Rattus norvegicus: one gene and its partners. The protein of the gene in region 1 interacts with the protein of each later gene in a pairwise test. Links are inferred from orthologs where the notes say so. Each region holds a gene or a part of one and is shown on either strand. Other genes may lie near its edges.

Region 1 (4,122 bases):
ATTTAGTGCAGCCTATACATGCTCTATGTGTCTACAGGAAAGCAAAATGGAAATCCTGATCCCGGAACCTGGAAGGCAGAACACAAAACTTGAGTCTGTAACCTGCCCTCGAGATCAGTTTTTCTTTTCTTCTCAAATGTTTATTTTTGTGTCTGCGTGAACCTACGACACGCATGCGCAGGTGGTCCCCAGGATGAACCAGATCAGCCTCTGGAAGAGCATAAGTGTTCTTGACCACTGAGCCTCCCCACCAGCCCCATCAGTGTTCTGTTGGAGAAGCAGGGATGCTCAGATAAGCCCGCTTGCCTCTCGGGCTGCTGTGTGGGACTGGATGAAACTGCATTTACAGGACGCCTTGCAAACTGTGATAGTCACCTGACACACAAGCAAGGCCTTCTTGGTGTTGGACGAATCCAGAATCCGTTCACCGAGGGCCTCTCGCTCCAGAGCCTCTCCGTCTCCTTGAGCGCGCACAACACAACTTCTGCAGACAGCTGCGTCGGTTCCTCACTCTGTGCGTGCCCATGAGGAAACGGGAAAAGTGTAATCACGGTCCTAAGAGACGTCGCCTCTACCCTTCAGGACAACTGGGAGTGGGCTAAGGCACACACAACGTCTGTAGGAGACTACAGGCCCCCTTAGGACGTGCCAGGCCAGGGTCAGCCTGCGCGGGGCACGGTCCATCTCAGGGCAGGAGCTTGATGCGGTGTCATGGTTTGTATCAGGGCGCCAAGCAGGGCGCGGGGACACGGTCTACCTCCGCACGGATCCGGGCGCGGGGGCAAGGTCACCGACCCCGGGCGCTGGACCGTCAATAGGAGGCCTGGAAGAACCGGAACGCGGGACAGGCTAGGATCTGAGGTCCAGAGGTGGCTCAGAGCAAGGGCGCCGCCCTAAGACAAGCCCTCTACGAACTTCAGGGCCCGGTGTGAGGGGTGGGCGGGGCACTGGTGAAGGCGGGGCATGCGGGGAGGAAGGGCTCGCGGTGAGGAGGAGGTGCGCGGTGAGGGCGGGGCCACGCAGGGAGGGCAAGGAGGGCGGGGCTACACGATGAGGGCGGGGAGCGCGGTCAGGGCGGGGCCACGCAGGTATGAGGGGCACGGGGTGAGGTGGGGCCGCGCAGGGAGAGCGGGGACCCCGGGGAGCGTGGGGAGGGCGGAGTCACGCAGGAATGAGGAGCTTGGGGTGAGGGCGGGACCACTCAGGGAGGGCGGAGTCACGCAGGGAGGGCGGGGCATGCGGTGAGGGAGGGGAGCGCGGTTTGGGCGGGGCCGCGCGGGAGAGCGGTGTGGGCGAGGAGGGCGGGGCCACGCAGAGGATAGCGGGCACCGGGTGAGGCGAGGCCGCGCAGGAAGAGCGGGGAACCCGGGGAGCGCGAGGAGGGCGGAGCCACGCAGGAAGGGCAGGGCATGAGTTGAGCCTAAAGCGCGAGGTGAGGGGGAAACCGCGCAGGGAGGGCGGGGCCGCGCGGGAAGGAGCTGCGCGAGGTGAGAGCAGAGCGCGCAGGGAGGGCGGGGCACCCGAGAAAGGCGGGGCTGTAAGCGCCCTCCTTGCAGCGACTGGCGGGCCTGCGAGGGGGCGGGGTTTCCGGCGGCAGTGCACTCGGGCATCGACTGACGCAGAGTGGACGGGCGTCACGTGACACGGAAGTGACTCCGAACAGGAAGAGGACGAGAAAAATAACCGTCCGCGACGCCGAGTGGAAGTGGATTAGAGCCACCATGAACAGCAAAGGCAAGGCCGGGAAGCGGCGGAGGTCGTCGGGGACGCGGGCGGGTTCGGGTCGAGTGGGCCCGGGGGCGGCGGGCTCGGGGCGGTCAGGGCCGCTCTCCTCAGCAGGCCGCGGAGCGGGGCCGCACCTGACGTGTCCGCCCCCCCTCCCCCACACACCGCAGCAACTCGGCTCTCCGGGCCCCGGCCCCATAAACTCTGTGGCGCAGTTTGGAGCCGCGGGCTCCAGTGTGTGAGGTGGGGGTGTTTTTCCGTGACTGACACCGGCTGGAGCGAATGGGGAGCTAGAGCAGGGATTTGGGTAGGCCAATGGAGGACCGGCAGAGGCGGGGCGCCGCGCTTCGGAACAACAGGCCTTGGCCGAGCTTAACTCGTGAGGTGCCGGCTCTGCTGCCCAGTCCCGGCCTTCAAGGATCCTTTCCCGCCTGCCTTCGACTTTTCGCGCTCCCTCCTCAGGGCCAGGATTTATAGTCGTGCCTGTGCTAATGTTTGTCAGACCATGGTCGCGTTTACCTCCCGCCCCCAGCCGCCGCCCTTCTCATGGTTAACTTCCATTCACTCACTCTTTGGAAGTCGACCTTGAGTAGGAACCAACCCGTGAGGTAACACGCAGAACCGTGGGTTCCACAGAGTCTGCACTGGTTACCGCACAGTCCGTGGGAGACTACCCGGACTAGAAGTCCCCCCAAAACACCAGCAATCCAGAATCCCCGGCACGGGTTCTCAGACCTGTCCTTTATTTGGGAGGGAACGGGGCCAAGTTACACTTGATTCCTCCATCAGTATGCTAGTGGGAACAGCGCCTTCTGCCCAGTCAGAACCCAGCACCTTCCACTGTGAGGGTGCAGAGACAATCTTTTATTTTCTTGGCTCTAAGAGCTAAGGCCCTGTGGGGCAATCTGTTTGCAATTCTTCTGCTTGAGCTCACCAAGTTAACTGCCCGTTTTACAAATTTTTTTTATTGTCTGTGAATGTGAGGGTAGGTGCCCACAAAGACAGAAGCTAGAGTTGAAAAGAGGTTGTGTCAGATGTGGATGCTGGGAACAGAACTTGGGTCCTCAGGAAGAGTGGCATTTTGTCAGGAGCATCTTTCCTATTTGCCACCTCCCTAATTTGATAGACAACATCTCTCTTCCCCTTTTGTATTCCAGGTCAATATCCAACACAGCCTACCTACCCTGTGCAGCCTCCTGGGAATCCAGTATATCCTCAGACCTTACATCTTCCTCAGGCTCCACCCTATACTGATGCTCCACCTGCATACTCAGAGGTACTGCACTTTGCTAGACTTTTAACTATTTGAATACACTCTTGGACCCCTCCCCCATTGTTAAATCTTCAAATTCAGAAGCAGAGAATGCTCTATGAACCGTCTAAAACATAAGTTAATAATTACCATTGGAATTGAACGCATTATCTGCTTGTTATTTGACATGCTGAGTTAGGCTGAGTTTGGGTCCCTTGAGCCCAGTAGTAGCTGTGGATGCAAATGACCCAGAAACTGTGTGCCAGTGACAGTAACCAGTGTGATCCACACACACAAGAACTGAGAATGGACTCATGAGCCATGCGTGGTGGTAAGACCAGTAGTCTCAGCACACGGAAGGCTCAGGCAGGAGGAGCTTGAGGTCAAGACTGTCTTGGGCTATAGAACCAAACCCCATTTCCAAAACAAAACAAGGGGCTGGGGATGTAGTTGATTTGGTAGAGTGCTTGCTTAGCATGCACCAAGCCCTGGATTTGGTCTCCAGCCCAATGTGAGCTGGATTTGGTGGTGCAGGCTTTTATTTCCATCAGTCAAGAGGTCAAGGCAGGAGAGTCAGGAGTTGAAGGTCATCCACTCCTACATTCTTGCAGGCTAGCCTGAAGTACAGGAGATGGTCTCAGCAATACTTAGAGGAATTTCAAATACCAGTGTCACAGAAATATTTTGCCTTCTCTTCTGCTTCTTTTAGCTCTATCGTCCAAGCTTTGTTCATCCAGGGGCTGCCACAGTCCCCACCATGTCAGCTGCATTTCCTGGCGCCTCGTTGTATCTGCCTATGGCCCAGTCTGTGGCTGTTGGGCCTTTAGGCTCCACGATCCCCATGGCTTATTACCCAGTTGGTCCCATCTATCCACCTGGCTCGGCAGTGCTGGTGGAAGGAGGGTACGATGCAGGTGCCAGATTTGGAGCTGGTGCCACCACTGGCAGCATTCCTGTGAGTATGCCTAACCAAGAGCTCAGCCCTCGTGCACTTGAACCGTCTGAAATGACTTCATACTCATTCTCCTACCATCCCAGGGTAGTAGTAGTCAGGACTGGCACAGCTGCTGCCCTCTCATGACAGAAATGTGGCTGGGCCAATCAGGGCATTGGGCACAGTCCTTAGAGTTAATCAGATTCATTTG
Region 2 (2,169 bases), on another chromosome or scaffold:
ATATTTGTCCACAAAGGATTGTTTTCCTAGATTTTGTCCGAAAAATAGCAAACACAGTGATTTAAATTAAAGAAGAAAAAAGGGTCACAAAAACATGGTTTTAGCAGGAGTAACCAATGGGCCAGCTCCTCGGCTCAGAACTGATCATTACTGACTGGTGTTCATAATAACCCACAAGTTCACAGGAAGAGTCAATGTCGGGAGTGGTGGCATAAATTGAAATTATAAACCAAGTACCCCACTGGTACCCCTCCTGTCTAAGCCCCTCTAACCTCCCTCAACTTTCCTACCCGATTCAATGATTCCATAGCCTCAGCACCTAAATCTCCATCAGATCTAGGTCAGCTTCCTCAAAGCCATAGAAAGACTCTGTCTCACTTTCTCCCTCAAAAAGCTGATGAAGGCTTTCAGGCTCAACTGTCTCTTCAGGCGATGACCTGGGTCGGGGGGCAGAAGCTGAGTGCTCCTCGGACTGTTCTCCATTTAGCTTTAGCTGCTCCTCGAGGGAGGCAATGAGCTCCTCCTGCATATCAGCGTTGCGTGTGGGTGAGTTAACGTTGCCATCAGGGCCTGGCAGAACACTAGCCACAAGGAAGGACCGCTGAACTAGGTCTGGGGAGTCCCCAATGACACTCAGCACCTCACCCAGCCAGACCAACACCAGCTGAAGCAAGACATCAGAATCACAAGCAGCATCTGCCATTTCCCGAGCCTGCTCCTTCCACTTTTTGTGCAGGAAGTTCTTAACAGTTCGTTTGATGCACACGTCTAGTGGCTGGATTTTAGAGCTACAGCCTGCGGGAACCACCGCAGGCAAAGTGCTAGAGGCACTGAGCAGGGCCAGCACCTCTTCTGACAAGTGAGTGCGATGACAGTCCATCACCAGCATGCTTTTGCTGTGCTGACAAGCTGTGTGCTTCTTCCACACACGGGTGGACCAAAGCTCCATGATTTCATCATCACTATAGCCACTGTCTTTAGCCTCTAGTAATATAGAGTCTGGCACATTAGCAAGCCGATTCGCTTGACCTCGGAAGAAAACCAGGGTGGGGAGGACAGTGCCATCTGCTAGGATAGCCAGCACGACGTCACACCAAGGCTCCCCTGTGCCCACTGTCTGCAGAGCGTTCTCCTTCCGGTCATCACTGCTCAGCACCTCTGTGTCCAGAAACAAAGAGATCTCATCGATAGCCACAATCATAGACAAAGGTAAGTCTTGGTTGTGAATCTGCCGCTGCACAAACTCAATGAAGAGTCCAGCATTTTCTGCTACATGCTTCGGTAACGTGTGGGCTACAGCTCGCCGGGCATGGGGAGTGAGGTGGTGCCGGAGCATAAAGCGCACAGCCCACTCATAGGAGATCTTAAATCCCCCTTCCAAAGAGCGTCCGATTTTGGTGGCCTTCTGAAACAAGGTCTCTTCATTTACAGGGAGCTGCTGCTCTCTCTGGATCAGCACCCATTCAGCCAGTTTTTCTTCTGCCTCAAAGCTGAGATATTTGCCCTCTAAATTCTCTCCCTGAGAGGCCTGAAAGCGTCGAAGCCAACGGCGAATTCGCCGCTGGGGGTTTCGGAAGTGTTCAGCCGCCTGCTCTGTGTTGCAGCACAGGGCAAACAGCACTACCCGAAGCTTCTTCACAGACAGCTGCTCTTTTTTGCCAACCCCACTGCCACCACTTCCAGCACCTGATGCTGGTTCAGGCTCCTGGGTGACAGGGCTTCCCTCCTCCTGTTCATTGACATTCAGACACTCAGTCCCCTCTGTGGCCAAGGGTGGCAGGGCAGAGGGCTGTGGGTGAGTGGGGGTTGCTGGTGGGGTTGCAGTTGAGGCTGGTGATGGAAGTGCCTGGAGCACAGGACCTGCCAGCTCCTGAGGCTCTGCTGAGGTGGCTCCTACAGGCTTCACAGTGGCAGCTTTGTTAGGGAGGAGAGGAGGTGGAAGATACGTATTCTTCATGCTCCGGTCCAACACTCGTTCAGGAGTCTGGCCAAGCCTAAGGGAATGGGGATAGGAGGCAGAGAACAGAAACGTCAGTTACACTTCAGGATTTAAATCGTAGTATTTGTAAGAGCAGACTCTGCAAAGTGCACATGAAATGACCATTACCTCGAGTAAGACATCCAACTGAGCCCTGGGAAAATGAGATTAAAAAAAAAAAGGTTAGCTCA
Region 3 (4,089 bases), on another chromosome or scaffold:
GGGGGATACCCTGTCCTGTCCTGCTAACAAACTTTTCCTCCTTCCTCACCAGACTTGCCACACATCCCTAGGGTGCTACTTATACGAACTCAAATGCCTTTGTCACTGTTCCCAGAGATGCTCCTGTGAGTGGATTCTTGTGATTTTAGAGCTATTTGTCTTGATTTTGAAACTATGGTTTACCTAAGACCCACAGTGGTGGAAACAATACTGGTTTTCCCTGCACAGAAGCTGACTGGGAAAAACCACTCGAACAACAGTGCAGGAAGGAAATGGAGAAAGAAAGAAGCAAACAACCCTGGGACAGGAGTCATGGCAAAAGAGGCCAAAGATGGGACTTAAAAAATGGTAGGGAGACAGAGAAGACAGCCCAAGGTAGTGGGAGGCTGGGGGATGCCCAGGGACTAGTTGTCCTGAGGGTAGGGAGGGAAGCTCAAGGCTCAAGGGAGCAGAGAGATAAGAAATGTAGGAGTCCCCACTAATGGACACCAACTGTGCTATGCACGAGGCACATATTGTCTCATTTAACACTGAATGCAGACAATGGCCTCATGGAAGTTAAATAACTTGGCCAAGGTCACATCATAAATATCAAAGCAGACTCAACTATCAAACCTACTTTACCTCTATAAACTCCTATTTGGGGGCGGGGGGGGGGGGGGGGGGGATCAGTGACACATCTCTCTACAAGGCCTTGACTATCCTGGAAGTTGAAGAGATAAATCCACGTGTCCCTCCCTCCCAAGTGCTGGGTTAAAGGTGTGTGCCATTAAATGCATGCTTTTAAATTAACCTAAATAAATTAACCTGTGCTGTGACCAGCTGACAGAAAGCATCAAGGGCAGAAATCTAGATAATATTAATAAGCACTTCCACAACCTTCTAGGCACCCATTAAGTCCTTTAAGCTATCAACTCAATTAATTCTTACAAATCCATGACTCAAAGTCACTTTACACAGGAGGTACTCCATTAGCACCTTGCCCAGGGACACACACCTCACAACTGGAGCAGCCTGGGTCCAGAGTAGACTCCGATCAACAGTCTATGCCTCTCCAACAAGCCATGGAGGGAGATTTACTGAGCCCTACCATGATCCAACCTGAAGGAAGACATAGGTGAATGGGAGAGGCTGCTCTTTACCTTGAACTCAGGCCAGAGAATGGAGTACCTGCTAACAGGTATAACTAGGCAAAGGGGAAAAGAAAGTAGCAGGGTCCCAAATCAGGTCTGAACAGACACCAGAAGACAAACAGATGTGACACACATGAAAGAGAGGGGTAAGAGGGAGGGAGAGAAGGAAAGAGGCACACAAAAACTCAGGCAAAAAAAAAAAAGCAATACAGAATCATGGGGAAGACAGCAAGGCAGGAGGACAGAAAGGCAGGGACCCTAAAACAAAACACACACACACACACACACACACACACACACACACACACATGCTCTGACCTGGGGGTGGGAGAGGCAGGAGATATAATTTAAAAGAACACAAAATTTACACTCAAATCCCGGCCACATAAGCAACCAGCAAAACAAACCTGTGACTCAGTTCACCTAACTGTGTAACAAAGGGAGGGGTGCTAGCCGGCAAGCTTGCTGATTAAATAAGATGGGTACATAAAAGACTTGGATCTGTGCCCCACAGATAGTAGGCGCTCAGTACCCCTGGCTGCTATAATTATCAGAAAAAGACATTTCCAAAGGGTGGCATATAAAGATGCACTATCCTAACACCAACTACCTACTCCAAGCATGTTCAAAAAACATACTAGATCTCACAAATGCTGCTGAAAATGAGTCAATTTTCCACATTTGATTAATTTAGAATTGCTTATTAAGCAGTGCAAACAATATAGCGAAATTCTCCCAAGGGGAACTCAAAAACCTGGTATCAAATACTAAGCGAAATAAAACCTCTAATAATAGTAATCACATGCTTAACTCCAGGCCAGACATTGTTAGGCACTTTACCAGCACCGACTCAATTAATGCGCAGAGACCCTGTGGTGCAGGAACTATGAATGCTTCCGTTTAGAAGGCTAGAAAACTGAAGTCTCAAGACCGAGGAAAGCAGCGGGGGCTCTGGATTCCACAGCCAGAGCTCCTACCAGAACACCAGAGACTCAAAAACCTGGGAGGCACATTCTAAACCAAAGCAATAGGTTCCTAGGAAGGAATTTAGTACCTGGGGACGATAGCAAGAACGGGAGAGAAATATGCACTAGAGGGAAACGAGTCTGGGGAAATGAAGACACAGAAACCCAGAAAAGACAAGAACTGCATCCTGACAGGAACACGGAGCGATCCAGGACACAAACACACAGCACTCGGACCTCCAAACCTTTTTGTACAAACACCGAAACACAGAGGCAGAGAAACACAAACAGGGCCACGCGAGACGGGGACACTGACAATCCCAAAAAAAGACACACACCGGCAGGCAACCCCGACCCGGGCACAGCGGTACAAAAGCAGCCACAAGCCATCAGCGGCTGGAACACCGGCTCCGAGTCTGGCTGGACCCGCGCGCGCCACTGCCCAGGTCGGAACACCGGACTTGCCGCGACGGAGGCCAGCATTGCGCCCCTCGCTCACCTCGGCCCGCTTACACCGGGCTCCCGGGGGTCATGACGGTCAGACCCCTGCCCCCGCTCGGCCTCGGTGTCGCCGGGCGCGCGCCGGGCTGCGGGATGCAGAAGTGCGCACGTGCGCACGCACAGACGCACGGAGGGCCGCACGGCGACGGCCCCGCCGCCCCGGCGCCCGGGAGGGGCGCGGAGAGCCGGGCGGGGGAGGGGAGCCTCCGAGTGGACGGGAAGCAACCGAAGGTGGCGGCGGACCGGAAGCGGAAATGACCCCGCGTGCCCCGCCCTCTGCACTTCGCCCGGCAGCCTCCACTTCCGCAACCAAACCCACCCCGGCATCATTTCCGGCGCACGGGACGCGTCCTTGTGCCCTTGCGTCACTTCCGCATCTACGCAGCAGTGGATATACTGAAACATCCAACCTACTACCTTGAAGCCTCTCCACCACAGATACCCTTGCAGGACCCTCAAGCCTGTCTCCCTCCCTAGGTGCCACCCTCCACACCCTCGGGCGAAAGAGAAGGGCGGACACACTGGACACAGATGGGCGCCATAAAGTAAAATACAACAAAATGTTTAATGAGCAAATTCGTATTAGCAAATATGAAACTGCCACAGAGAGGAGGAGCAGGACTGAGACCACGGGTTGAGGGTCAGGAAGACTAAGAAGAACCAACTACTTAAGAAACCAGGGTGGAGAACAGGGAGGACCAAAGCCAGAGGACGGGAGCTGTGGTCCTGCAAAGGGAGAAGGCAGGGCACTGAGGGCCAGACAACAAAATTCAAAATAGTTTGGCCATAAAATATAAACACGCTATGTTCCTACCATGGGGTAAGAGAGGAGGAAAGGGGTGTAAGGGTTAAGAGGCTGTTTGGGAAGGGGCTGTGGGGGGTCCTACCCGCCCTGCTGTGCACACAGTCCCCATCCCAGCCCGTTCCCTCTGTGTCTGTGTGGGTGCATGTGTCTGTGGGCCTGTGTGCACTTGCCCAGTCCCCTTCCTGCCCTAGCCCCCCCACCCCCCCACCCCCCTTAATTGCTGCCATTCCAGTTGCTGCCGGCTGTCATTCGGCTGTCACTCCTCTGCCCATCATCTTCAGAGGGGGGAAAGGAGGAGGGGACAGGTGGGGGGGAAAGTCCCCAGCCAGCCCTGCCCCCACCCTCCCCCAGCCACCTCTACCAGAAGTCCCGACGGTGGTACGAGTCAGGGTCACAGTATTTTGTGACCACCACTCTGTTGGCGAACTTGCGGCCGGTTAGACCCTGCATGGCTTTCTGGCAGTCAAACACAGAGGTGAACTCCACAAAGATCTGTAGGAACAAGAGGCAGTTCTGTGAACAAAACTGGCTCCTAGCAACTACTCAGCATTCATTTAAGTACAGAAAATGAGAGAACACCTCAATGCACTCCACAGAGGCCTTCCATTCAGTGTGAGGCTGTTCACCCAAACATTCTCCAGTACCCAAGAACAAAGTACAGATGAGAGACATCATGGAAACAGAG
Region 4 (3,500 bases), on another chromosome or scaffold:
TGTTTTTAACCCTGCAGTTCTCTTTTTGTAAATGTTTCACATATTAAAAAAAAAATCTTGTGTTGTTATAAATGCGATGCATTTTTTTCTTTCTAAAAGAATGGAAACCAGATTTTTGCCCAATTGTATAGTTATTTAAAGGCTAAGTGCGTGTGCAAGCAGGGGTGGCTATGTTGTATACATGTGGTGGTGATTTTGGCAAGTTGGCCAAAGAATTAACTCTTCAGACTAGAGTAGAAAGAACATCACAAATCTATTTAATATACTGCACGACCAGTGGCCATGGTGTCAGAACTGCCTGCCTGTCATTTGTAGATGACATTACTGTCTCCCTTATGTGTGATATGTTTGCTTAAAGTTTTTAGAAAATCAGATTTTAATTGTGGCAAAGTATCAATTTTGTTTATATTTTGTACTTTTTTTTAAATAAAGCACATTCTGCAAGGTATTAAACATATTCCCCTGCATTGTCCCAGGAGTTACTTGTTTTGCTTTTGCTGTGCTTGGAGATCAAACCCAGGCCTTAGGCCAGTGATCTGCCAGTGAGCTGCACTCCTGGTCCATCCAGAAGTTTTATTGTCGGATTTTACATTGAGGTTTGTAAAGCACTTGGAGATGTTGTTTGTATGTTAGGAAGTGCAGAAGTGGGGCTGAGAGATGGCTCAGCGGTTAGAGCACTGGCTGCTCTTCCAGAGGTCCTGAGCTCAATTCCCAGCAACCACATGGTGGCTCACAACCTTCTGTAATGAGATCTGATGCCCTCTTCTGGTGTGTCTGAAGACAGCTACAGTGTACCCACATACATAAAATAAATAAATCTTAAAAAAAAAAACAAGAAAAAGAAAAAGGAAGTGTAGAAGGTATGCTATGGAGTTTAGAAGGCTGGCGTTGCTCAATTTATTTTTTGAACTTCCGTCTTGAAAGAAATATTTAAATGCACTTGGCTTATTTACTTTTTGTTCACTATTTGTAACTTCTTTCTTGAGTTTTTTAGAAAAAGAGTCATCATAAAAGTGCATGATTTAGATTTCCTCCTTTTGCAAAAGAGTACTTTTGTGAAATAATACTTATCATGAAAAGTTTTTGTCTTAGAAATGTAAAGAGTAGGGTGATTAAAAAGTACATTCTTGATCCAAGTGCAGGAGCCATGGCGATTGGGCTGTGTTTTTCTGTACAACACTGACACTCATATTTAACTGTTGAAAGCAAATTGTAAGTTAAGTGGGGTTACAGTATACACTCTGTTTTGCAGTGTGCTGTTAGTATGACACCTCACACGGTCATCCACTTACCTTTTTAAGTAGATGTGTGTTACTCCATTGTGTAGCTATAAAATGACTTACTTAGGGGCTGGGGATTTGGCTCAGTGGTAGAGCACTTGCCTAGCAAGCGCAAGGCCCTGGGTTCAGTCCCCAGCTCCGGAAAAAAGAAAAAAAAAATGACTTACTTAGTAAACATAGTGGCTTTATACTGTTACAGTAATTATCACATTTGCCTGTATGGATATCTGCTTTGTGGAGGTGTGAAGTTTTTACTAATTGACTAATTTTAATTTTATGTAGGATGAGAAAGCCAAATGCAATAAATATGCTGATGAACTTGCGCAAATGGAGCTGAAGTGGAAAGAGCAAGTGAGAATTGCTGAGAATGTAAAACTCGAACTCGCTGAGCTAGAGGACAGTTACAGTGTAAGTTCAGAGAATGTAAGACTGGAACTCGCTGAGCTAGAGGACAGTTACAGTGTAAGTTCAGAGGCTTGACCCATGGTGCTTAGTGAGCCCGGTCCTGATCCATGTGCCCCCCATAAAACACCAGCCAAGCACAGGTTCCATGCAGATGTCCTGGATATTTAATTACATACAGGTTATTTACTAGCCTGAGAAAAGGGCCTCCCACATGCATTTGTTAATGTGGCTTTAGTTCTGTGGGTTCAGGTGGACTTTGAAATTTACCTTTTAAAAAAGTTTTTAGTACATATTATATATAATAATAGGCTTCATTATATTTTCAGGTATCTATCTATAGTATAGATTTAAGTGGATCCTATGTATGAGGAGAAAATAGATGGTAAAAATATTAACGATAATTTCTCCTTTTTTTAAAATTCAGCTACAGTTGGCAGAGAAAGACAAAGAAATAAATTGCCTGGCTTCATTTTTGGAAAATCTCTCAAGGGAGAAGGTATTGAGTGCTGCACTCGCTGTGGACAGCCTGTAACCAGTGTTTGCTTTCTCTTGTCTGACTTCTCTTTGAAAGCTTTCCTCTGTGTCTTCACTGTTATACCTCCTGCTAGTAAACAGTAATTTGTGTACCATTCTCATTTCCAGATGCCACATCTGCCAATTTTTGAGAAATATGCCAAGTGGTGAAAATTGCTAGTTTGGGCTCCAACACATACTTTGCATTTAACAATAAGCTAAGTTTAAAATACTCAAATTTAGGGAAGAAATGAATTTTTAATTGCGTATTTGTTCAGACATAGGTATTTTCTTGAATCTGTTAACTAAAGGAGAAGGATTGTTACTGTTTCTTGCTAATGTAAAGTTCAAGCCTTAAACAGAACTACAATTGTGAAACTTGTGTCTTCTGTTTTAGCTTGATGCTTGCTGGTGTGTACAGATGCATTAGTAGTCAGGGGCAGAGTTCCGTGGTGTAGTAGAATGTGCAGCTGTTGGATGATCTGCCTAAGGAATGATCTTCAGGTTGTCACTCTGCTACAGAATAAGATTTTCAGACTCATCACTTCCCTGGTTGTCTTTTGTCATTCTGTCAGGAAAGCCCTTTTGTCTTCTCATATTGATGTTTGTATTCTGTGGTTTGACAATAGTCTGCTAATTCACTAGTGTCCAGCAGCCAGTTGTGCTGTCACTGTGAGATAGCATTGCCCTCCTGTATAGGCCAGTGACTCAGCTGCATAAGCTTGCTTCTCCTGCAGGTCAGTTAGGTACTACTATTAAACTACTTCATAATACTTTCCATAATTTTTAAATATGCAGATATGTATGTGTATGTTTATGCTTGTTGGTGTCTGTCTCATCTACTTAACTGCATGTCTGTGAAGAATGCACATTGTACCTGTTTTCCTCATTGTATCTGCAGTCCTTTACAATACCTGCTGTTTGAAGTCAAGCATTTGTTAAATGGAGAAACTAATGGAGCAAATATAATTCATAGCATTTGCCTTTGAAAAAATTTGATGGAAGAAATATACTGAGATCAGTAGCTTTATTGACAGTTTTAAAAATACCAACCTTTTCAGGAACATTGTGTTGGACACTTGTTATCTGCTTTCTTTTACTAGTAATATTGCTATTACTACTACTATACCACCACCACCATTATTATTATTATTATTATTATTATTATTATTATTATTATTATTATTATATCTTTGAACTTGTTCTCGGTTTCCTGTAGTATGGCATTGTTTCTATCACGTTAAAAGTTTTTAAGTATTTGCATTGTGAGTCAAACAGTCTGTTTAATATTTTGTGTCTGTT
Region 5 (4,089 bases), on another chromosome or scaffold:
ATTATGGCTGGACCTCAAACACTTTCATCGGTAGCCTCAGGGATCTTGGTAGGTCTAGAGTTCAGAGAAAACTCAGCCAAAGATCTCCTCTTTATTTTCCCTGTTTTGTGACACCAGAGGTTGAAGCCTGGGTCTCCAGCACACTTGGTAAGCAATTGGTCATAGCTTTACATCTCCAGTCTTCATTATTATTATTGTTGTTGTTGTTGTTGTTGTTACTCTTATTATTAAAGACAGGGTCTCACTATATAGCCCTACCTGACCCAGAACTCAACAGGTAGACACAGATAACTGAACTTCTGATCCTCCTGCCCACACCACTGGAAGACTGGGGTTACATATCTGGCCCAGCACACGGTGCCTTCTCCAGTGGTTTCCAGGAAAGGGAAACAAGACCAGCCTGATGCTGGGCTGGTTTTCAGAAAGAAGTAATGTGTGTTCTGGTCCGAGGGCAGGTCCAAGTTGTGCCCTGACAGACACTGAGGTGTAGTAGCTTCCTAAGTCCTGGTTTCTCCTTCCCTGTCTTTTACTCCTTAGCCTGCCTTTCAGGAGACTGGAAGGCTACAGAGTTTGATACATTATTATGAGGATGACAAGAAAAATACTGCAGTAACGAACAGGGCGATTCGATTTCTATTCTCCCTCCTCCTCCCCATGACACCTATGTTTAAAATCTGAAAAGGAGAAGGCGGTAAGACTCAAAAGTAGCAATAAGACTCTATGATCTCTAAAGAGAAAGAGAAAAAAAATTAGTGATATCCATCCTAGAAAAATTCTGGGTCAGCCCAGATGGAGCAGAGAGCTGCATAGATCTTTACACCTCCATCAGGACCATAACCAGCACGCACACGCTACGTAATGGTGGGTAATGACGCCCTCTCTCTACGCAGATTTCACCTCACTTAAAATGGAACAGGTACGCCAGGCATGCTGTGATTCGAAGGGCCAATCAAGGAAATAAATTAGAAAGCAGCCGCCTCGTTAACACTGCAACATTTCTCTACAGAAACCTCTGTCGCTGGAGGGCGCTGTCCCTCTAAGTCCCGCCAGGCTCGAGCCAATCGCAAGCCCAAAAGAGGGAATTCGGTCCGAAGAGAAGGGGCGGAGAAGGGGCGTGCCTTTCGGCCAATCAGAGAGCAAGCGATTCCCTTGCAAAACTCCGTTGGCCAATGGTAGGGGGAGGGATGAGAGGCGGGCATCCTGCTGTGTGACAGCTGTGCCGACCAATGGGCGTGCGGCCCGCGGCCTATAAGTGTCAGCTGGGCCCGATCCGCCTGGCTCTAAGATCTGTTAGTCCTCCCTGCGGTCGGAGTTGTTCCCTGGGTTTGCCTCGCCGCCGCCGGGTCCCCGCACCCCGCCTTGGCCCGTGCACAGCCACTCTCCCTGCCCTCCTCGCCTTCACCATTCCCGGGTCTCTGCCGTCGAGGCACCGGGGCCGGGTGAATGATGCCGTCGGAGAGTGGAGATGAGAGCCTGGAGCAGCCAGCTGCGCAGGTGGGGACCGGTGCAGCCTCGGCAGTGGCCACGGCTGGGGCGGCCGGCGGCGGCCCGGACCTGGAGGCCTCCTCGGCCTCTCTGGGACGGCACCAGAGCCGACTGAGCTGGCCACAGGTGAAGCGGCTGGACGCGCTGCTCAAAGAGCCCATCCCCATTCACGGGCGAGGCAACTTCCCCACGCTGAGCGTGCAACCCCAGCAGATTGTACAGGTGAGGGGGACCGTGACAGGGTCGGGGCTGGGGGGTGGTGCTCTGCTGCAAGGCACCTGAACTCTGCGATTGGCCTGGCAGCTAGGGAAACTAAGGAACTGGAACCCGGGCTACCAGTTCGGCTCTTCCTGCACCCTGCTGAGCTTGCCTGTCAGCCGTTCTGGGAACTCCTTATTCCCTTGGGAACCACTCACCAAGACCCTGGCTGGGAGGTGGGAAGGAGATGAAGGAGGCACTAGAATGGGGCATCGCCCTGGCAGCCCCCAATGAAGAGTGTATATACTTGATTCCAAAATAGCTTTTCTTCTTCTACTCCACATCCTTAGTAGGGTTCTAGGGGCACTCTGCCCTTGTGTCCCCACAGCCCTTGGCTCAAGAAATCTTGGCTAGGTGAAACAGTTCAGAAGTCCTTGGGGAAATCTCCCTGCCTCCCACGTGTTGTGGCCAGGCTGGAGACCTCACCCCTTTGAAGATAGCATCAAATTTCCATTTTAGGTGTTCCTCCTCCTGTAAGGCTGGAAAGGAAGGCGGGTCCAAGGTTCAGACCCCAAAGCACCATCTCCCTCCTGAGGATCAGATTCTGTCAGCTGCCCCTTGCATCAAACGCCACCTCTTCTTTTTACCTAACCCTGCAAGGGTTAACTCTTAACTTAACTCTTTCCGTGTAGAGCCAGAGCCCTATGGTATTCTGAAATACCAGAAGATGTCTGTTCTTTTCTTCTTCTTCTTCTTCTTCTTCTTCTTCTTCTTCTTCTTCTTCTTCTTCTTCTTCTTCTTCTTCTTCTTCTTCTTCTTCTTCTTCTTTTCTTTTATTCGGAGCTGGGGACCGAACCCAGGGCCTTGCACTTGCTAGGCAAGTGCTCTACCACTGAGCTAAATCCCCAACCCCCAGGATGTCTGTTCTTACCCCACCCCCCATTCTAACTGAGTGGGAGGATGAGCTACCTAAGGCTATCCAGTGAGATGGAGGTCAAGCTCAGGGAATCCTGGAGCCCTCCAGGAGCAGATGGTACGGTTTCCCACCCCTCCCCAGGTTCCCAAGCTCAACATCTAGTCCTGGAGTCCCTGGATAGTGAAAATCAGAAAAGTTAACTAATGCTAGTTCCTGTGTGTTACTGCCAACCACTGTCTTTACACACAAGCCAGGTAAAGCTGGACGCATCACACACACCCCCTTTTGCTATAGCCTTCCCCCCCCAATTGCTTTCCCCGTCACCCCGCTATAGCTATAGCTATAGCCGACAGTGCCCTCCCTAGGAACAAGGAATGAGGTGGAGGGGGTGGGGACGGATTCTCCTGGGCTGACTCACTGGCTGTCCCAGTCGGGATGGCTAAGGCATTCCATGCTCTCCTGACGTTGCCTGGGTTATTAGTAAATGGCTTTGGCCTGTTTTGTTTTTTGTTTTGTTTTGTTTTGAGATGGGGTCCTATGTTTTGCCTGGGCTCCCCTCAAACTCAAATGATCCTCCTGCCCCAGCTTCCTCAGTAGCTGGGATTACGGGTGTGTTGCTACCCTTATGCTGGCTTCTCTCCTGAGGAAATACCATAATCCCAGGCACGAAGAGAAGGAAAGGGGGTGCTCACTCGGGGTGCTTGGCATGATTAGGCCTCTCTATAGGGAAAAGTATCTAAACTGACGCTGGGAGCTTGAACGTGACTGGGTTTCGACCTCTGTCTCCCAGTCATGTTGGGGGTTGAGTCAGTGGGAGTCAATTTCATGGCATTGGTCCTCCTGAACTTCTCATCCCAGAAGGGGAGCTGTTAGCTGTGGAGTGGAGAGGTGGCAGAGGCCTCCGGGCTACTGGGTTCATTGTTTATTCCTTCTATTGGGCTTAGTGGCCCCATCTGTTCAGTGGATGGTGTTTGACTACTCTGCAGAATCCTTTCTGGTTCCAGACTCCCAAGGGACTACACGCCTTCACCTGCCTATGCAGTGAGTCTGTCTCCTGGTGGGAATCCACAGCTAATAGCTCTTTTTTTTTTTCTCTCTTCTTTTTCTTCCTTTTTCTTTTTTTCGGAGCTGGGGACCGAACCCAGGGCCTTGCGCTTCCTAGGCAAGCGCTCTACCACTGAGCTAAATCCCCAACCCCAGCTAATAGCTCTTAAAGCTGTTGGGATGTGAGGGGCTGCACGAGGGAGGAGGGAGACGTTGGGGGGAGAGGGAGGAGCCTGCTAGGACTTCTCACTAGTGTTAAATTGTCTCCAGGTTCAAGAATGGAAGCCTTCTGCTTCTGAGCCCACCAAAGTTTTCCCTACCGCAACAGTCTGAGCAGCTAGGAAAACAGATCCTTGCTTGTGCCTGGGGGACCCACTTTCTTTTTTTTTTTTTTTTTTGGAGCTGGGGACTGAACCCAGGGCCTTAGCTCTACCACTGAGCTAAAT
Region 6 (4,238 bases), on another chromosome or scaffold:
TTCTGCGTTTGTTTCTCCAGCCATGTTGGCACAGCAGACTGTGTGTCCTTGGACACGACTCTCTTCCTGGGATTCCTATTTTGTGTAGTGAGTAAATTAGGCTCAGAGAGGTCCACTAAAGTGACCATGTCTCAGGGGCTCACACAGCCAGAGACAGATAGGCCAGACACTCATCTTGGAATTCTAAAGCCAAGCCCAGCTTCATTCCGCAAGAACAGGGCAGACACACCTGACTACCCTGGCTGCTCCAGCAGGCACCAAAAAAGCCCGCCGTCTCACTCCTGGAGACTGCCTGCCAAGAGGAGCACAGAGTGAACCTGAAGGGTTCCCACATACACCAGGCCTCCTAGAACACAAGCCTCATTCCCTTGGAACAAATATTGGGGAGAGGAAAGCTTGTTATTCCAATAGAGGATTAAGGAATGCCTCTATTCTCAGAGCAGATTTTCAGTCAGGATCATCCAGGCCCCACATGGATGTTTGTTTGTCTTTTAGATAAAGTCTCAGAGTTGCAAAGCTGGCCTAGAACTCGGTCTCCGGAGTGCTGGGATTACCAGTGTGTTTAAGCAAATATTGTCTTTTCTGTTTGTTACTAGCTCAATGCCCTGGTCCATACAGCGGGTTTACGTTTTAGCTACCTGACGTGTTAAATGAGAATGTTGACCTCCATCCATCTCCTGAGGCTGCCTGTGAGAAAACCAAGCTCCAGGACAGAGCCCACTGCCCTACGCCCTTCCCTCACCTCTCGGACCCACCCCTCACGAAATATTTCTTTGGCAAAAACTGCAAAAAGGGCGAGAGAAACGCTAATTTTCTGAGTCTCGTGAGAGGAAACCTATAGAATCCCCAGGCTGACCCTTGCCCTGGTAGCTCTGTCACGTTTTGTTTTTGTTTTTTTTTTTTTTTTTGCCCCTGCCTTTAAGGTTTCTGCATTGCAAAGTGCGTGAACTCAGCAGAGGCCTAGTTTGTGTCGAAATAAGAGACCCCCCGCAGAGGCCTACCTAAGAGGCTCTAAGCAAGTGGGTGGGAGGTAGTTGCGGACCTGGCTAGAGAGAGTTCGGGAAAAAGGGCGGGACTGAGAAGAGACGCATTGCGGATAAAGGTAGGGGGCTGGTGTGTTGGGCAAGGGGGTGGGACCAAAAGGCGCTGCGCATCTGTTGAAGGAGTGGATGCGTAAGGAGAAGGGGAGGAGGAACCTTTGTACACTGTCAACCTGGTTGGCGGTGGGATAGTGTGCTGGCAAAGAGGCGGGATCTCCTCCAAGTGCACATGCGCGACAAGGTCTCCAGGATGAAGCTTTTGTTGGGAAAGCAAGCGGGACTCTTATTTGGACAGTGATCTGTTGCGCATGCGCGGGGCTTCCTGAGGCGGTGGGTGGTATATTAGGCGAAGAGGCGGGGTCGCCCGAGCTGCCGCGCTGGCATTTTCTCCTGGACAAGGAGAGAGTGCGGGTGCAGAGAGCGGAGCAGAGCAGTCCCGATCCTCTGAGTCGTGAAGAAGGAAGCAACGAAGGGGGTTGGGGTTGGGGCCTGAGGCAAGGTGAGACCCGCCCCCGGACTGGGCATCTGCCCCCCTGGTGTGGCGCCCTTCCCCCATTCTTTTATCCCAATCCCCTTTCCCTGAATTCAGAAACCCCCTCCTCTGCCTTACCCCGGACTTACACCTCGCTCCCGACCCTTTCTAATTCGAACTCCCGTTCATTCCCTGAATCTTTATCCAATTCCTTCACTGAATCCTATTTCCCGACCTTGATCCGTTATACGATTCCTCTAGATTCAAAGCCTTAATTCAACTTTACAGACGCGAACCTCTCCCCGCTAACCGCCCCCCCCCCCGCCCCTGTAAACTACCGCATTCAGAGCGCTTATCTGATTCCAAACCGCGGATTTGAAGCTTTTACCTGTCAGCTTCTGGAAATTTTAGATTGTCTATCGGGACGACCATTTACTTTTCCCGCTTCAGTTAGGCCTGTTTCTCCCCGTACCCAGCACCTCACCCGCCCCCATAATCAAACCACACGCGCACACACAATTCGGTCCTACGTATTTTCCTTCTGTAGTATAATGCCTAGTTCCTCTCCCACACCCCCCTCAGGCTCTGCTCTTGCCAGAGAGACAAGAGCTATGGCTCAGAAACCGGACGGCGGTGCAGGCCTCCGCGGCTTCCAGGTGAGAACCCCGCTCCCAATTCCTCCATTTTCCTTGCTGACAGATTACGCCCACCCCTGGCCCCTCAGGTCGCGCAAATGGCAGGATCTGATTTTGCCCTTCTTCCGGCCTAGACTCCGCGGGCTCTCAAATTTCTAGCGTTTATCGAATAGGGGGGAGGGGCGGCCCTTTTCAGCCATCGGTCCCTGCTTAGAGAAAGGGGAGACCCTGTTAGTCAGGGCATTCTGCCCAGAGAATGCGGGTTGGGTAAGGAACCATTTTTTTTCCATAACCCTGACGCGTGTAGAGCAGTCTGTCGCCCCATCCCCCAACCTCTCGCCTCCACCCTCCCTTTCTCCACGCCGCGAGACTCCCCCTCCACCCTCCTCTGTTTATCCTCCTCAATTCCTCCGTCCTCAGGTCTTGAGCTCCCCACGGCAAGCCTCACGAGTCTGTCTCTAAACCCATTCGGGGTTCAGTGCTTGCACCACATTCCGCACCAGCCCCTGCTGCCTCCGACTGTCCCTCACCTTGCCCTGCCCCCTCTACCTTTAATTAAATTTTGTTCCCGCCCCGCCTCCCTTTGACCCGCCTCTGCCCCCATGTCTGAGTACTGTAACGCCTGTCTACAGTTCCCCTGCTGCGTTGCGCCGTGCCCCTCCTTCAGGTCTGGCTTGTAAGGCCCAGAGATTAAAATTTCCCCCTCCTGTATTTGCAGGCAGAGGCCTCTGTAGAAGACAGCGCCTTGCTTGTGCAGACCTTGATGGAAGCCATCCAGATCTCCGAGGCTCCGCCCACCAGCCAGGCCACAGCAGCTGCCAGTGGGCCGAATGCTAGTCCCCAGAGTTCACAGCCCCCAACTGCCAATGAGAAGGCTGATACTGAGGTTTCAGCAGCTGCTGCCAGGCCTAAGACAGGCTTTAAGGCCCAGAATACCACCACAAAGGGGCCAAATGATTACTCTCAGGCACGTAATGCCAAGGAGATGCCCAAGAATCAGCCTAAGGTGGCCTTTAAGTCACAGAATGCCACCTCTAAAGGTCCACATGCTGCCTCTGATTTTTCCCATGCAGCATCCACAGGCAAATCAGCAGCTAAAAAGTCTGAAATGGCCTTTAAGGGTCAGAATACCACTACTAAGGCTGGCCCCAGTGCCACCTACAATTTCACTCAGTCTCCCAGTGCCAATGAGATGACCAACAACCAGCCTAAGACAGCTAAGGCTTGGAATGACACCACTAAGATCCCTGGAGCTGATGCCCAGACCCAGAATGTAAACCAGGCCAAAATGGCTGACGTAGGGACCAGTGCAGGTATCTCTGAAACTGACGGTGCAGCAGCCCAGACCTCAGCAGATGGCTCCCAGGCTCAGAATGTGGAGTCCCGGACTATAATTCGGGGCAAGAGGACCCGCAAGGTGAGATCCCTGCTGGCTTCCCTTTGCTTTGAGGTCTCTCCTTTCTTTGAATTTCCTTTGCTCCAAACAAAATAAAGGGCACATATATATCTCTATTTTGGCAAAGTTGTAGGGGGAGCTGAAATAAATATTTATTCCTGACCCCCGGTTGTCCACAGATTAATGATGAGTTGATACAAGGACACAGGCAGTATGTGTGCAGACCGTCTTACATTTGACAGTAAACACCATGTCTTAAGCTAGGCAGGCTCACCCAGAATTATCATTAGATTTTGAAGATCCACCTCACAAGCAAGAGAGACCACAGTCAGGGAGAAATGAGTTCAGGGTGAAACCAAGCAGTGCACAGGAAAGGGAGAAACCCCGGGCTCCACTTTGTGTTTTTCTTTCTCTGGTTTGGAGATGAAATGCTTTCCTGAAAGACAGTGAGGAACCAAGTGGCTAATGGCTAGTGAGGTATAGGTGAGGATTCCTAGGGACTTCCTAGGATAGCTACTGGGGGTGCCAGGATTAATAGTGACCCTGAAATTTTCTTCTCTCTAATGATACAGATTAATAACTTGAATGTGGAAGAGAACAGCAATGGGGACCAAAGGCGTGCCTCGCTGGCTTCCGGGAACTGGAGGTCTGCTCCGGTTCCAGTAACCACTCAGAACCCACCTGGCGCACCCCCT
Region 7 (3,500 bases), on another chromosome or scaffold:
CTACCGAGGCCTGGTGCAGAACGACTTCGCCGGCAGTGAGTGGCGGGGCGGGGCGTGGGGCATGGGGGCCTGAGGCTGGACCACCTAGACAAGGCTCACCCAGGTACTTGCTGCTGGTCACCTTTGGTTCTGTCCTAGTGTGTGTACCCTCCCCCCTTTTGGGTCTGCGTCCATGAATCTGGCACAGGGTCTCTGTGGAGTTAAGAGACTGGAGGTCTCTGCCCAGGCCACATCTATCCCTTCCCTCTGATTCTATACAGAGCTCTTTTCCTAAAAAAGGAGGGAGGCAGGCACCAGCTTCATGGGAGAGGGGAAGAAGCTCTTCCTTGTTATGGGCAGAGCCCCGAACATGCCAAATCTGGCCTTTACTGTTCGCTTTTGTGAATGAGAGTCAATGGTCCAGGAGGCAAGGACTTTCCTCTGGGCTTCCCTGGGAGGGTGGATCCTCTGAGCAGGCTTCTCTGTCAGGTCATCAGGGCACACCTGCATGTGGCTGGGATGTGGCTCAGTGGTGGAGCACTTGGGTGTGTGAGGCTCTGGGTACCAGCTCAGGGACTGGCTCAGAATTCTCTCATGGAAGAAAATGTGCCTGCCTTGAAAGCCTGACAGCCTGAGTTTGCTCAGGAGACCCCAGCCCTGACCTCTACACACATGCCTCGTTACCTGTGCACATGGCATGCATGAGCAGATGGAGACTGGTTCCGTGCCCAGCACTGCAGACAAAGCAGATAGCACCGGGTGACCCTGCATGGCTTCCGGCAGGAGAGGACTCAGTAGTCCCCCCCTCTTGTGTTCTGTGCACACAGATGCTAGGAAAGTGCTCGCCTAGCGAGCTGCACCGTTAGACCTGGGATATTCTTCTTACTCTTTGTATGTTTGAGACATGGTCTTACTCTAGCCCGAGCCGGCCTAAAGCTCACGGTCCCCTGCCCCACCCTCCCCAGTGCTGCAGCTGGTCCCCAGGCAAGGACCGCTATGTCTAGTTTGATGGCTCCATTTTAGACAGAACTTGTGGGTGTCTGTCTGGATATGACATCTTCCCTGCCTCTGCCTAAGCATGGAGAGCTCACTGGTGGGCGCCCTGGGCCAGGGTCATCCACACAAACCTCTTCCCGGCCGGTCTCACTCCTCCCTGTGGAGTGTTAGATGGGTCCATGGGTCTGCAAGCCTTGCTTCTGGCTGACACAGGTGGCCCTGCATGTGGGCTTCCTAGTCCCAGACTTCTGTATTTCTAAGATGCTTCTATGTGCTTAAAATCAGAGGTTGCCACCTCCTAGCAGGCAGTGCAGCCTTAGAGTCAAGAAGTTTGTCGTTTGTCACCATGGTGCTGTTATTTTTTTTTTTTTTAAAGATTTATTCATTTATTTTATATAAGTACACTGTAGCTGTCTTCAGACACACCAGAAGAGGGCTTCGGATCTCTTTACAGATGGTTGTGAGCCACCATGTGGTTGCTGGGAATTGAACTCATGACCTCTGGAAGAGCAGTCGGGTGCTCTTAACCGCTGAGCCATCTCTCCAGCCCTATTTTTTTTTTTTTTAAGATTTATTTACTTATCATATATAAGTACACTGTAGATGTCTTCAGACACACCAGAAGAGGGCATCAGATCTCATTACAGATGGTTGTGAGCCACCATGTGGTTGCTGGGAATTGAGCTCAGGACCTCTGGAAGAGCAGTCGGGTGCTCTTAACTGCTGAGCCATCTCTCCAGCCCTGGTGCTGTCGTTTTTGCCCTTAGTCCAGGCCACATGGTTCCTTGCAGCTGGAGCCTGGGCTTCTCTTAGTCCTTCAGTCACTCCTACAAGCAGTGTGTTCTGTGCTGCTGTGGGGACGGGGCCCCAGGGAGAGCCACTGAACAAACCTAGGTGGTCTAAGGGATGCTTCGCCAAGTGTTCCTGAAGGGAAGACAGACAGCAGGGCCGATGTGTGCTTTCTGCTAGCCCAGGGAAAGTAGATTCTAGCTCCTAAAATTAGGTAAACAGAGGTCCTGGAGAACAGTGTTGAAGACAGGCCAGCGAGCACTGGGAGAGGGCAGTAGGGCCTTCTGCTAGGATATGCAGACTAGGCAGGAGTCTCCTAGTCCCAAGGAGGGGCCATGCTTTGTCACCTAGCACAGACCCTGATGCCCAGACAGAAGAGCTGAAGCACTCAGACTGCCACAGTGGCCCAGCACCAGAGCTGCCCTAGACACTGAAGCAGGAAGGCCTCAGGTTCAGGGCTTGCCTGAGAGCCTGAACAACTTGGAGACCCTGTCTCAAAAAGAAGGCTGGGGATGGAGTTCCATGGTAGAGGACTTGTTCGGCCTAGGTTTACTCTTTTTTTTTTTTTTTTTTTTTTTTTTCCCGGAGCTGGGGACCGAACCCTGGGCCTTGCGCTTCCTAGGCAAGCACTCTACCACTGAGCTAAATCCCCAACCCCCTAGGTTTACTCTTATGCTCCTCACTTGTTCCCTTTAAAGAGGAAGGGGAGCTTAGCTGAAGGGAAGGGAAAGGACTCACATGAGCCCCAGTCCAGAGCTGAAGGGAGACTGGCTGCCTCAGTACCCTGGGAAGGAAGTTCTGAAGTGGATGCTGGGGGTGTAGGAGAACAGGATCATCAGACACTCCATTAATAGAAGCCAACCCACGGGAGCACACGGGAGCACACGGCAGCCAGTGATGCCCAACACTTATAGGCCTTTATGGTTCTGGAGGCCAGAGAGGCTCCATGACAGTGGTAGGGGCCCTTAGGTCCAAAGTACTTACTCTCTGTCAGGGATCCCATTTTATAGAAGAGGGAGCTGAGACACAAGGGTCAAGGGTTAACTTAACGAGCCAGGTCACAGTGTGAGTGGGTCATCTGGCTGATGTTATATACTGTGGTCACTTGGGTCCTAGACAGAAGAGTGATTTGAGATAGGTGACCCTGCCTTGGTTGTCCCCCTCCCACTCCCTCCTGTGTCTTTGTGTCCCACTGCACTCACATGTGCCTGGCTGGGCTGACCTGTGTGTGCCTCTCCTTGCCCAGTCTCTGAGGAACAGTGCTTGTATCAGATCTATATTGATGAGCTGTATGGAGGCCTGCAGAGACCCAGCGAGGATGAGAAGAAGAAGTAAGTCAGGGTCTGGCCTGATGGGGTGGGCAGGGACCGGCCTCCCTACCCCTTCATGTCAGCCAGCACTTGATGGGTGCTGCCTTCATATATGTGGAGAGGGGGAGGCAGTGACAGTAGACAGGCTCCACCCAGGTTTGTCGCTCCTGCCTTGCAGAATGGGAGGTATAAGTCCTGGGGTGGGCTGAGGAAAGGCCGCCCTCAGAGTCAGCTTTAAGTCAGGAGCTGCGAGGAACGTGGCTGATGGGGAGTCATAAAGTTCTGGTGCCAGCATGTAGCGAGTTTGCAACCCACAGGGACCTGGTGGCATCAGTGCTGCCAGCCATCTCAAAAGCCAGCCTGGCTGGGTGCTCCGACCTGGGAGCAGCCACATACAGGATCTGTTTCTTGACGCTCAGCCGTGGC

The links.
Region 2: the proteins of Dazap2 (region 1) and Pogz interact in binary tests that used the Homo sapiens proteins (3 or more experiments, as listed by UniProt). The two-hybrid records come from large-scale screens. The link is inferred for Rattus norvegicus from reciprocal best matches to the Homo sapiens genes DAZAP2 and POGZ.
Region 3: the proteins of Dazap2 (region 1) and Epn1 interact in binary tests that used the Homo sapiens proteins (3 or more experiments, as listed by UniProt). The two-hybrid records come from large-scale screens. The link is inferred for Rattus norvegicus from reciprocal best matches to the Homo sapiens genes DAZAP2 and EPN1.
Region 4: the proteins of Dazap2 (region 1) and Tax1bp1 interact in binary tests that used the Homo sapiens proteins (3 or more experiments, as listed by UniProt). The two-hybrid records come from large-scale screens. The link is inferred for Rattus norvegicus from reciprocal best matches to the Homo sapiens genes DAZAP2 and TAX1BP1.
Region 5: the proteins of Dazap2 (region 1) and Tent5b interact in binary tests that used the Homo sapiens proteins (3 or more experiments, as listed by UniProt). The two-hybrid records come from large-scale screens. The link is inferred for Rattus norvegicus from reciprocal best matches to the Homo sapiens genes DAZAP2 and TENT5B.
Region 6: the proteins of Dazap2 (region 1) and Maged1 interact in binary tests that used the Homo sapiens proteins (3 or more experiments, as listed by UniProt). The two-hybrid records come from large-scale screens. The link is inferred for Rattus norvegicus from reciprocal best matches to the Homo sapiens genes DAZAP2 and MAGED1.
Region 7: the proteins of Dazap2 (region 1) and Clasrp interact in a two-hybrid assay, tested with the Homo sapiens proteins (2 studies listed by BioGRID and IntAct). The link is inferred for Rattus norvegicus from reciprocal best matches to the Homo sapiens genes DAZAP2 and CLASRP.

The regions. Positions count from the first base shown.
Region 1 is NC_086025.1:133,592,215-133,596,336, forward strand, and holds the start of Dazap2 (DAZ-associated protein 2), read left to right. Parts: upstream 1-1,322; 5' UTR 1,323-1,432; intron 1,433-1,487; exon of another isoform or gene 1,488-1,556; 5' UTR 1,557-1,721; coding exon 1,722-1,734; intron 1,735-2,882; coding exon 2,883-3,001; intron 3,002-3,686; coding exon 3,687-3,932; intron 3,933-4,122. UniProt on the Homo sapiens protein: In unstressed cells, promotes SIAH1-mediated polyubiquitination and degradation of the serine/threonine-protein kinase HIPK2, probably by acting as a loading factor that potentiates complex formation between HIPK2 and ubiquitin ligase SIAH1.
Region 2 is NC_086020.1:185,125,904-185,128,072, reverse strand, and holds part of Pogz (pogo transposable element with ZNF domain), read right to left. Parts: intron 2,133-2,169; coding exon 2,108-2,132; intron 1,995-2,107; coding exon 320-1,994; 3' UTR 1-319. UniProt on the Homo sapiens protein: Plays a role in mitotic cell cycle progression and is involved in kinetochore assembly and mitotic sister chromatid cohesion.
Region 3 is NC_086019.1:77,786,612-77,790,700, forward strand, and holds the start of Epn1 (epsin-1), read right to left. Parts: upstream 2,801-4,089; 5' UTR 2,598-2,800; intron 1,102-2,597; 5' UTR 998-1,101; intron 1-997. Other genes in the region: U2af2 (U2 small nuclear RNA auxiliary factor 2), read right to left, coding at 3,762-3,896. UniProt on the Homo sapiens protein: Binds to membranes enriched in phosphatidylinositol 4,5-bisphosphate (PtdIns(4,5)P2). Modifies membrane curvature and facilitates the formation of clathrin-coated invaginations. Regulates receptor-mediated endocytosis.
Region 4 is NC_086022.1:83,190,623-83,194,122, forward strand, and holds part of Tax1bp1 (tax1-binding protein 1 homolog), read left to right. Parts: intron 1-1,562; coding exon 1,563-1,688; coding exon of another isoform or gene 1,689-1,742; intron 1,743-2,109; coding exon 2,110-2,181; intron 2,182-3,500.
Region 5 is NC_086023.1:150,977,949-150,982,037, forward strand, and holds the start of Tent5b (terminal nucleotidyltransferase 5B), read left to right. Parts: upstream 1-1,289; 5' UTR 1,290-1,443; coding exon 1,444-1,707; intron 1,708-4,089. UniProt on the Homo sapiens protein: Catalyzes the transfer of one adenosine molecule from an ATP to an mRNA poly(A) tail bearing a 3'-OH terminal group in an ATP hydrolysis-dependent manner.
Region 6 is NC_086039.1:63,420,186-63,424,423, reverse strand, and holds the start of Maged1 (melanoma-associated antigen D1), read left to right. Parts: upstream 1-1,438; 5' UTR 1,439-1,539; intron 1,540-2,094; 5' UTR 2,095-2,123; coding exon 2,124-2,168; intron 2,169-2,865; coding exon 2,866-3,564; intron 3,565-4,115; coding exon 4,116-4,238. UniProt on the Homo sapiens protein: Involved in the apoptotic response after nerve growth factor (NGF) binding in neuronal cells. Inhibits cell cycle progression, and facilitates NGFR-mediated apoptosis. May act as a regulator of the function of DLX family members.
Region 7 is NC_086019.1:88,370,844-88,374,343, reverse strand, and holds part of Clasrp (CLK4-associating serine/arginine rich protein), read left to right. Parts: coding exon 1-35; intron 36-117; exon of another isoform or gene 118-3,010; coding exon 3,011-3,095; intron 3,096-3,500. UniProt on the Homo sapiens protein: Probably functions as an alternative splicing regulator. May regulate the mRNA splicing of genes such as CLK1. May act by regulating members of the CLK kinase family.